Sus scrofa: one gene and its partner. The protein of the gene in region 1 interacts with the protein of each later gene in a pairwise test. Links are inferred from orthologs where the notes say so. Each region holds a gene or a part of one and is shown in the gene's direction. Other genes may lie near its edges.

What was found. The genes of interacting proteins can lie anywhere in the genome.
Region 2: the proteins of NAP1L1 (region 1) and RPL23A interact in binary tests that used the Homo sapiens proteins (3 or more experiments, as listed by UniProt). The link is inferred for Sus scrofa from reciprocal best matches to the Homo sapiens genes NAP1L1 and RPL23A.

What each region holds. Positions count from the first base shown.
Region 1 is NC_010447.5:39,332,000-39,336,346, reverse strand, and holds part of NAP1L1 (nucleosome assembly protein 1-like 1), read left to right. Parts: intron 1-1,479; coding exon 1,480-1,602; intron 1,603-2,301; coding exon 2,302-2,331; intron 2,332-2,567; exon of another isoform or gene 2,568-2,843; coding exon 2,844-2,894; intron 2,895-4,347. UniProt on the Homo sapiens protein: Histone chaperone that plays a role in the nuclear import of H2A-H2B and nucleosome assembly.
Region 2 is NC_010454.4:44,954,983-44,959,851, forward strand, and holds the start of RPL23A (60S ribosomal protein L23a), read left to right. Parts: upstream 1-1,868; 5' UTR 1,869-2,189; coding exon 2,190-2,214; intron 2,215-2,833; coding exon 2,834-3,017; intron 3,018-4,715; coding exon 4,716-4,869.

The sequences.
Region 1 (4,347 bases):
CTCAGTGTGTTAAGGATCCAGCGTTGCCGTGAGCTGTGGTGTAGGTTGCAGACGCCACTCAGATCCCGTGTTGCTGTGGCTCTGGCTAGGGTAGTGGCTACAGCTCCAATTAGACCCCTAGCCTGGGAACCTCCATATGCCGAGGGAGCAGCCCTAGAAATGGCAAAAAGACAAAAAAAAAAAAAAAATTGTGTGTCCACTGAGAAATGATGAAAGGCTAAAGATTTTCCTTTGTCTTCAGACTGGCAAATACTTTGTCAGGGATTCAAATGTTCAGTCAGTTTTCAAAATAGTTTTCTTCCTTGTTGAAACTATAATATATTAAGTCATTTATTTATACAGTACTATACTAAACTCTAGCCACATTCTGGTTAGGATTCTTTTTGTGGTTATTATTCCAGGGGAAATTTGGTTTTTTTATATGTGCTTGGCAAATAGCTTAGAATAAGGAACAACCTTAAAGAAGAAAGCTACACAGGCAGGGTAGGCTAGATATGTTTTGAATTTGGTTTAAGTCTTTCACCAAATAATGATGATAGTAGCAAAACAGTCTTGAACAGTTATAGATAAAATACCCCTGCCTGTGATTAGACCTCTTTCCTTCAAAGTCTGTTCCTCTCACTGTTTTATTGTTATTAGAGTGGATTATGTTGATGAATCAGAATACACATTCAGAAATTCACAGAATATTTACTCATTGTTTAGTATTACAGAACTTAAATGAGATAATTTTAATTTTTTTTTTTTTTTCCTTTTTCTGCTGCATCTGTGGTGTATGGAGGTTCCTGGGCCAGAGATCAAGTCCAGGCTGCGGCTGTGACTTAAGCCACAGCTGTGGCAACTCTGGATCATTAACCCGCTGTGTCACAGTGGGAATGCTGAGATAATTTTAATTTTGAATAGTGTTAGCAGCATTTCTGGACTGTACTTTGCCATTAAATAGAAATCCTAGGCTGACTTAACCTTTATCAGTAGGACTACATCTCACTTGGCATTACATAGCTGCTTGGATCTTGTCTTTGAGGAACTGTGAAGTGATCCTGTGTTCTTTTTTTATGTCATGTATGCATGATGTTGTTTATAAAAGCCTGAGATTCTTTCTTATTGTTCCATTTGGTGTTTTCAATAATGATTTTAAAAAGAAAATTAGTCATAAAACAAAGTTGTTTTTGTATCTTTTAAGCTAGAAAAAACTAAATGTTAACCAGTTCTAGCTTTTATTTCACACAATTTCTCGAGTAAGTACACTGGCCTGCTAACTTATTTTCTTCATGTCAAAAGCCTATAAGCCTTGGGTATATGTAGATGACATTTGGTCATGAACATGTAAGCTAATTTTAAAAATTTAAAGTTAAAAATGAAGTTGGAAATTTCTGCATGTTATTTAAACCCAACAGTCCCACATATACCAAATTAAATAACTAAGTTGGGTTTTGTGTTGTTTTTACGTGTGTGTAAGCTTTTATTTTTCTTTAACAGGATGATGATGCTGAAGCCATCCTTGCTGCAGACTTTGAAATTGGTCACTTTTTACGTGAGCGTATAATCCCTAGATCAGTGTTATACTTTACCGGAGAAGCTATTGAAGATGATGATGATGATGTAAGTGAGTCTGAGTCATGCAGTGAAGTCATTTTGGTGAGGGTATGATAGTCAGTGTAGGTGAGAGTTTTAATGAATGGATGCAGTTTTTATAAAGATACAATAATTCAAAATTAGGCTGATTACATAACTTTCCTGAATTGTCTTAAAGAGGCCCTCCTAGGATTTGGGGGTTCATTTATTATAGTTTTTGTTTTCCTCCTAGTAGGAAGGCTACTCTGAAATAGTAAAACTTTACTATGTTGGGTTAGTGTTGTAAATCCAGTACATGTCTTTGACCAAACAAAACAACCTAGGACATTTTTCAGATAAAAATCTTCATTAGGAAGCATGGAATCTTTATTCATAGGAATAGTAAGTAACAATTAAGGTAAAAATTAGGCTGCTGTCAAATGTTTTGAATATTTTTGTTGTTAAATGGCCATCATTCAAATAGGCTTCAGGTCTTTTATGTGTGATGTGTTCCACAAAGTACAGGCAAGAAGTATTACCGACATAGTTATCTGATCACACTTTATTGAAGATTATACTGAGTTCTTAAAATTGGTAGGTTTAGATAATGGCACTGAGCTTAGTGATTCCTACAGGTATTGTCCTTGTTTTAATTTATTATCAGTCACCTTAGGGATGATAGCTAAATGCAGCTTTCAGATGTTTGTTAGCGTCATTCAAATGTCATTCTTTTTTTCCCTTTTTTAGTATGATGAAGAAGGTGAAGAAGCGGATGAGGTAATGTTTACCAAATGAGCAAATAATTCTCTGTTTAACACATTGAGAAGCAAATTGAGTGATATGTATTCCTTTGCTATAATCATTAATTCTGTGATACGGGATAAAAACATTTTTGAAAAAAAAATATGATTTTAGAATTCTACAGCCAAAAACAATGTATGTATGAGGTTTCAATAAATAAATTGCACAACTCAGAACTTTTTTTTATTTCAAATAATTCTGTTCTGCTGCAGGGTTATCAGCTCTTTGAAGAAGTCAAAAGCTGCAGTAAACTTTTTCAACGTTGGCTGCAGTAAATCTTTTCAATAAAACCTGTCTGGATGTCTCAAGTTGTGTTGGGAAATTTTTCATATTAGAAGCTTTCAAATTAAATTGCATTGTCTCCAAACTCTGTAATCATGAAAATCTGTTGACTTATAGAGTAACTTGTATTAAATTCTCCCTACATTATGAGCCATTTCTTCCTACTATGTACCTACTTCATGGATGCATTTTGAACTTTAATATAGGAAGGGGAAGAAGAAGGAGATGAGGAAAATGATCCAGACTATGACCCAAAGGTGAGCAAATTAGTGCTGTTTTCTATTAAATTTAAGGCAGGTTAAATATGAGTTGGTGATTCTGAATATAAAGTTAAATATAAAATTTATTTTTGTCTGTTAAAAGTCTTTAATAAATCTCTCCTCACTGGCATTTCAACAGTACATGTAATTTCAGTGCACCTTTCCTAAGAAACTTTTATTTTGGATTCTGACAAATTTTTCAGAGCTTCAGGCTAAATAACCCTAGGATTCTATTTTAATGACACATTATCTTGGACACTTTCTTTTGTAAAAAAAAAAAAAGGGGTTTTTTAAGAGGAATTTTTAATTAGATATTGTGTTCTTAGGTTGTTTTCTCCCCAAAGGAAAGCTTATAAACAAAGTTTAGTTTATAAATCATCTGAATGCCAGCATGCTCAGGGATAGGGAAGCAGAGTTCCTGTTGTGGCTCAACAGAAATAAATCCGAGTAGTATCCATGAGGTCGCAGGTTCGATCCCTGGCCTTGCTCATTGGGTTAAGGATCCAGCGTTGCTGTGGCTGTTGGTGTAGGCCAGCCACTACAGCTCCAATTAGACCCCTACCCTGGGAACCTCCAAATGCCACGAGTGTGGCCCTAAAAAAATACACACACAGACACAAAAAAAGGAATGGGGAGCAATATTATTGTTAGGGTTTCCCAATCACCTTTATTCTCCATATCTGAAAAGTCCCAGTCTCTTAATCCTGGGAAGTTGTCACGTCAGGGTTAGGAAAGGCCTTTATCTCCCACAAAATTCCTTTAGTATGTTACGTGGCTTTATCTGAAACTTCTGGTTTCTCTTTAACATATTCATTCATTTGCTTATGCTGTAAAATATCCAGAAGATACCTAGTAAGCAGATAAGAGAAGGTAGTTAAAAAATCAAATATCCTAACAGGTATGAATTGGCCTTAACTGCTAAATTAGGAGTGGAATTTTTTTTTTGTCTTTTTAGGGCCATACATGTGGCATATGGGAATTGCTGGGCTAGGGGTCAAATTAGAGCTGCAGCTGGAGCCTACATCACAGCCAAAGCAATGCTGGATCCTTAACCCACTGAGTGAGTCTAGGGATCGAACCTTCATCCTCATGGATACTAGTTGGGTTTGTTACCACTGAGCCACAGTGGGAACTCCCAGTATTTTTGAATAACTGATCTATTAAAAGGCAAAAATATTTGGTAATAGGACAACATATATTGCTTGGCTATTTTATTTGGGGATTATGGCTTAATGTGTAATGTGTTTGATTTTATGGAATTCGTTTTACAGTGTAAAATTTCAGGGAGTTTCATTTTAGCATTTTCCTGACTTGGTAATGGTTGAATTTATAATTTACAATCATTCCTATATCATTTCTTTAATTTGCCAGAAATTTTGACATAACAGTGAGATAATGTGATAATTAAGATAATTATTATTGAAAAATTAACTGAAGCAGGTAGAAACAG
Region 2 (4,869 bases), on another chromosome or scaffold:
GATCCGCCCCAGCGACTCGCGCCCGCGGAGACCCGACAATCACCCTCGACCGAGGGGTCCCGACTATAACTCGGGGCCACGGGGAGCCTAGGGGAGCCCGTGGCCTCGGGGACGCTACGACCACCGCAGGCCACGGGGATGAGACAATCACTCGGGGCCGGGGCGAACCCACAATCACCCGGGCCCGGGGCGTCCCGAGGACGACTCGGGGACGGGGAGACTCCTGGGCCACCAAGTGGGGTCGAGGAGTCCCGTCTGGGGGGACCCGGGCCCGCGCAGATCCTACAATAACTCGGGGCCGAATAGTTCCTACAATAACTCGAGGCCGTGGGGACCCGACGACAACTCGGGGTTGAGGCGGCCCTACCATAACAGAACGGCCCGGGGGCCCGGAGCGGCCCCGCCACACGGGGTCAGTGTAGGCAGGGACGGCGCGGGCGGGGGTCGGCTGGAGGAGGGGGCGAGGGGCCCAGTCCGCTGCAGGGCCTCTGGTCCCACTCTGCTCTCCCTCAGAGAGCGCTGTAACTTGATCCCCGGAAATTCCTGGGAAAGGGCCGCCCCCCGCCCCTCTCCCGGCAGCTCTCAGCCTCGCAGCCCGCCCTGGCCTCCCCCTCCTCTTCTCCCCCGACCGCTGCCCCAGCAGAGGCTCCCCCCGCCAGACGCCTCACGTGGCACCAGGCCTGCCCCCACCCAGGTTGGAATCTGTCCAGTTCGGGATCCCCCGGGTCTCTCTCCTCTGCACCTCCGGTGCTGGTCGGAGCCTCCGTGGGGACCCTTACCCAGCCGAATTGGTGATGGGGAATCGGTGATTGCTGCGCAGCATCTGGTTGTGCCAGGAACCAGCGGGAGGGGAAAGGGGGAGAGAAGGGGCCCTAGGAGAGGCGGCGCTTCCCTCCTCAACTCCAGGCCCAGGGCATGACTCATATTGTCTGCCCCCGCTCGCCCTTCTGCCCTGGGAGGTGATGGTGGGGAGCGCAGAGGGGGTGTCAGGGTCGGAGTCAGGTGCCCACCGAGGAGAGAGATGTCCGAAGTCTGGTGCCTTTTCCTCCAAGGCTGATCTGTAGATTGGGGGGTGGGGGCGAAGACCAAGCTGCCTCCCTCGATGGAGGGTAAAGGAGGGCTAGGAGAACCCAGGATTCCGCACTTTGGAGCGGTCACGGCTCTGGGCCAAAGGTACTCCTCTCTGGCATGGGCGTTCTTTGCTCTGACCCTATTTGAATCTTCCCCGCCCCCCTTTCCTTTTTACAGTCTGCAGTCTAGAAGAGGGGATAGCACATATCAATCTCACCTTCAAAGGGGGAACTCTGATTCCAAGAGGGGACGGGAGGGCAGAAAGGCTGTGTGAAGTGGGGTAAACACAGTCCCTCAAAGAAGCAAACCTGAGCATAACTAAACTGCTCTGTGTCAAGAACTGAATTTGAGGATGCAAAGATGACTGGAGCAAAGAGACTACTTGGGAAGGTACTGTGGAACGAAGTTATTCCCCCCCCCCCAAATGAGTGAATCCTGGAGAAATCTGAGCGCTAGGTGTTTGGAATATTGACAGTCTCTTAAAAGAGTATTATTGTGAAGATGCATGAAATCTGTCACAGGTAAAGGGGAAGATGTGGCCGCCTCCTACCCTCTCTTGACACTTAGCTCCTCCCTTCTGCCCCTCTGCTCCTCCCCTCTGCCTGACTCGACTTTTTCTGCCAAGGAATCACCGCGTTATAAATAAGCCATGTCCCCTCTGTCGACCTCAACTTCCACAGACGTTGTCTAAGGGAGTTGGACTGGACAAATTCTGCTCGAATGTTATAGAATTTTGCTTCACTCTCCCTAAGTCAATTTAACTACAATATATTAATTCCGTTTGCAGTGTTACAGTTCTTGGAACTGTAATTCTCTCCTCTAAAGTTGCTCAAGACGGGAAGCGTTCAGACCCTTGCAGCCGCGGGCTACACCATCCACCCGCCGCAGCAAACACGTGTCTCCAAAAAACTACAACCCCCATGAAGCTTTAGTGTCTGACATTAAAGAGGGGTGGTGCTAGTTTAGTCCCTCTCGCGAGGAAGTTAAATCTACCATTCCCGGCGGGCGCCGCGCTGCATATTATCCAATCAGCCTTAAGCAAAAAGAATCGCGAGTCTTCAGTGAGACTTGGCCCTATAAGCCCGTGGGAACAGGTCTTAGAAACCCTTTTCACGAAGATGGCGCCGAAGGCAAAGAAGGAAGGTGTGTGCTGGGGCTTGGGGTTCCACAGCTGACTGTCCTGGGATCCCCGTAAGCAGAGTGAACCGACTGGGCCGACTGGGAGGACGGTGGCAGGGCCAAGCCTTTGGGTGTCTGCTCCGGAGCGGCTCCTCACGTTTCGGCAATGCTGAGGAGCGCGTGGGCCCAGCCGCATGGGCTGGGTTCGGTGAAGGGGTTAGGGGAGGCAAGCCTGGCCGGCACCACCTGCCCAGGACAGCCAGACAGTCGGCCCTGGGGAGCTCCATGTCTCCAGGCCTGTAGAGAGTCTGTACCCTGAACTTGTTTTTCCTTTTTAACCCCCATGTTAAATGGAGCTGTATACCTTCCCAAGATGGCTGTGCGGTGGTATATATAAAACTATTAGTTCAGGTTCTGGCAGTTAGCAAGCGTTCGATCATTGCTAGTAAATTTTTTTCATCGTAACCCAAGTTCGCCCTAGTGTCGTGCATATGATGGAAAAACTTGAACTTCCTGAGGCTTGTGATGTCTTCAAAGGAACCACTGATGCACGTGTAGCCTGGGGCGCCCACTACTGGTCTTGAGGCCGGAAGCGATCGATTTCTGTATCTCTTGCACTCTTCATTTTCTTTATTTCTCTCAGCCCCTGCCCCTCCCAAAGCCGAAGCCAAGGCAAAGGCTTTGAAGGCCAAGAAAGCAGTGTTGAAAGGCGTCCACAGTCACAAAAAAAAGAAGATCCGGACGTCACCCACCTTCCGACGGCCCAAAACACTGCGACTCAGAAGGCAGCCCAAATATCCTCGGAAGAGTGCCCCTAGGAGAAACAAGTCAGTACTCCCCGGTACTTATGAAAAGATGTATGGGTGTTCTCTGTTGGTAGTTTGGATATTTACCAAACCTAGAGCATGGCTTCTCAGAATCATGTTGGTAATTTAGTGGGTTTCTGTAATGGGTGTGGGAGGAGATGATTTAAGAACAAAAGGTGTTTTGGGAATATTGGCAGGAATTGTTGTTTTAAACCCAGAGTCAGTGTCAAGGTTAGGTAATTTTTAGGTTAATAATTGCTTCCTGCGTGGTCTACTTTCTTGTGAGTGTAAAAGTGGGGCTTAAATGTTCTTTGTTCTGGGGTTCCAGGTTTAGGTTGTTCTTCATTGCACCTACTGCTGTAGGGAATAGTCCTTGAAGTTGAGGGTGTGGGGTTCTTTTTTTTTTTTTTTTTTTTTTTTTGTCTTTTTTCTTGGACCGCTCCGGAGGCATATGGAGGTTCCCAGGCTAGGGGTCCAATCGGAGCTGTAGCCATCGGCCTACGCCAGAGCCACAGCAACGGGGGATCCGAGCTGCGTCTGCAACCTACATCACAGCTCACGGCAACGCCGGATCCTTAACCCGCTGAGCAAGGGCAGGGACCAAACCCGAAAACTCATGGTTCCTAGTCGGATTCGTTAACCACTGTGCCACGACGGGAACTCCTGGGTTATTCTAGATTGATGAGATTCATTTGTCTCCACTGTGAAGGCCTGTAGCAGCTTTTTTCACTCACTTCTTTACACTCAAGGAATGGTCTGGCAGAGTGGGCAAAAGGTTAGGGTGCTTGATAGTTTTGGTGTCACACTGCTAGTAATGACTGGCCTTAAGGAGCACAGTTTAGAGTAGAGCCATGGTAGTAGTTAACCACCAGTGAGGACCCACTGCTTTCAAAGAAAAATAGTATGCTCTTGGAGAAAAGGACTTGATAAGGCTTTTTACCTCCACTTGAACCTAGATTTAGCAAGATGAGATGTTGAGATCTTACCTTTAGCTTCAAAACAGGACGATGTATCCAGGCAAATAGAGCCTTGCTTCTCTTTAAGTTTCAGGTGGAAAGATGTGTTGGGTGCGTTCAAGCTGCTGAATCTTTAACGTGAGCTAGCTGTAAATAAAAAGCTTTTAGAATTGATGGCCTGGGATTTCCTGCTGAGGTGCAGTGGTTGGTTTAAGGACCCTAATGCAGCGGCTCAGGTCACTGCTGGGGTACAGGTTTGAACCCTGGCCTGGGAACCTCCATGTGCTGCGGGCGTGGCCATAAAAAGAAGGAATCCATGGCCTGCAAGCCCTCGGAAGGGGCAAAATAATTGATTCTGCATCATGGTGAAGCATTAACATTCTTTGGAATCCTAGCCTGGGTTTCAAGATTCTGTGATATGTGTATTTTGGGGTTATCTAACCTCTTAAGTCTTGGGTTTCTTCTAGAAATTTGCCCTTCAGAAATGTTGAGGTCAGATAAAGAATGAAGACGTCTGGAACTCAGATCAGTGTTTAATCACTTAAAGGATGAAAGCCCTTCATAGGAAAGAGCACCAGGGTTCTGCCCCATGCTGAGCCTTCAGGTCCCCAGGCTTTGGGGTGCACATGATGACACCGTTAAGCGACCAAAGTCTGACAGAAATGATTGCTGCCTCGTTGTCTGATGCACTTGGGCTCCAGAAGAGGGCCCACCTTTTCTTTTACTGGGCCCAAGCCAGGTGACCCCTTTTTGCCTCTCCCAGGCTTGACCACTATGCCATCATCAAGTTCCCCCTCACCACTGAGTCAGCCATGAAGAAAATAGAAGACAACAACACACTTGTGTTCATTGTGGATGTCAAGGCCAACAAGCACCAGATTAAACAGGCTGTGAAGAAGCTCTATGACATTGATGTG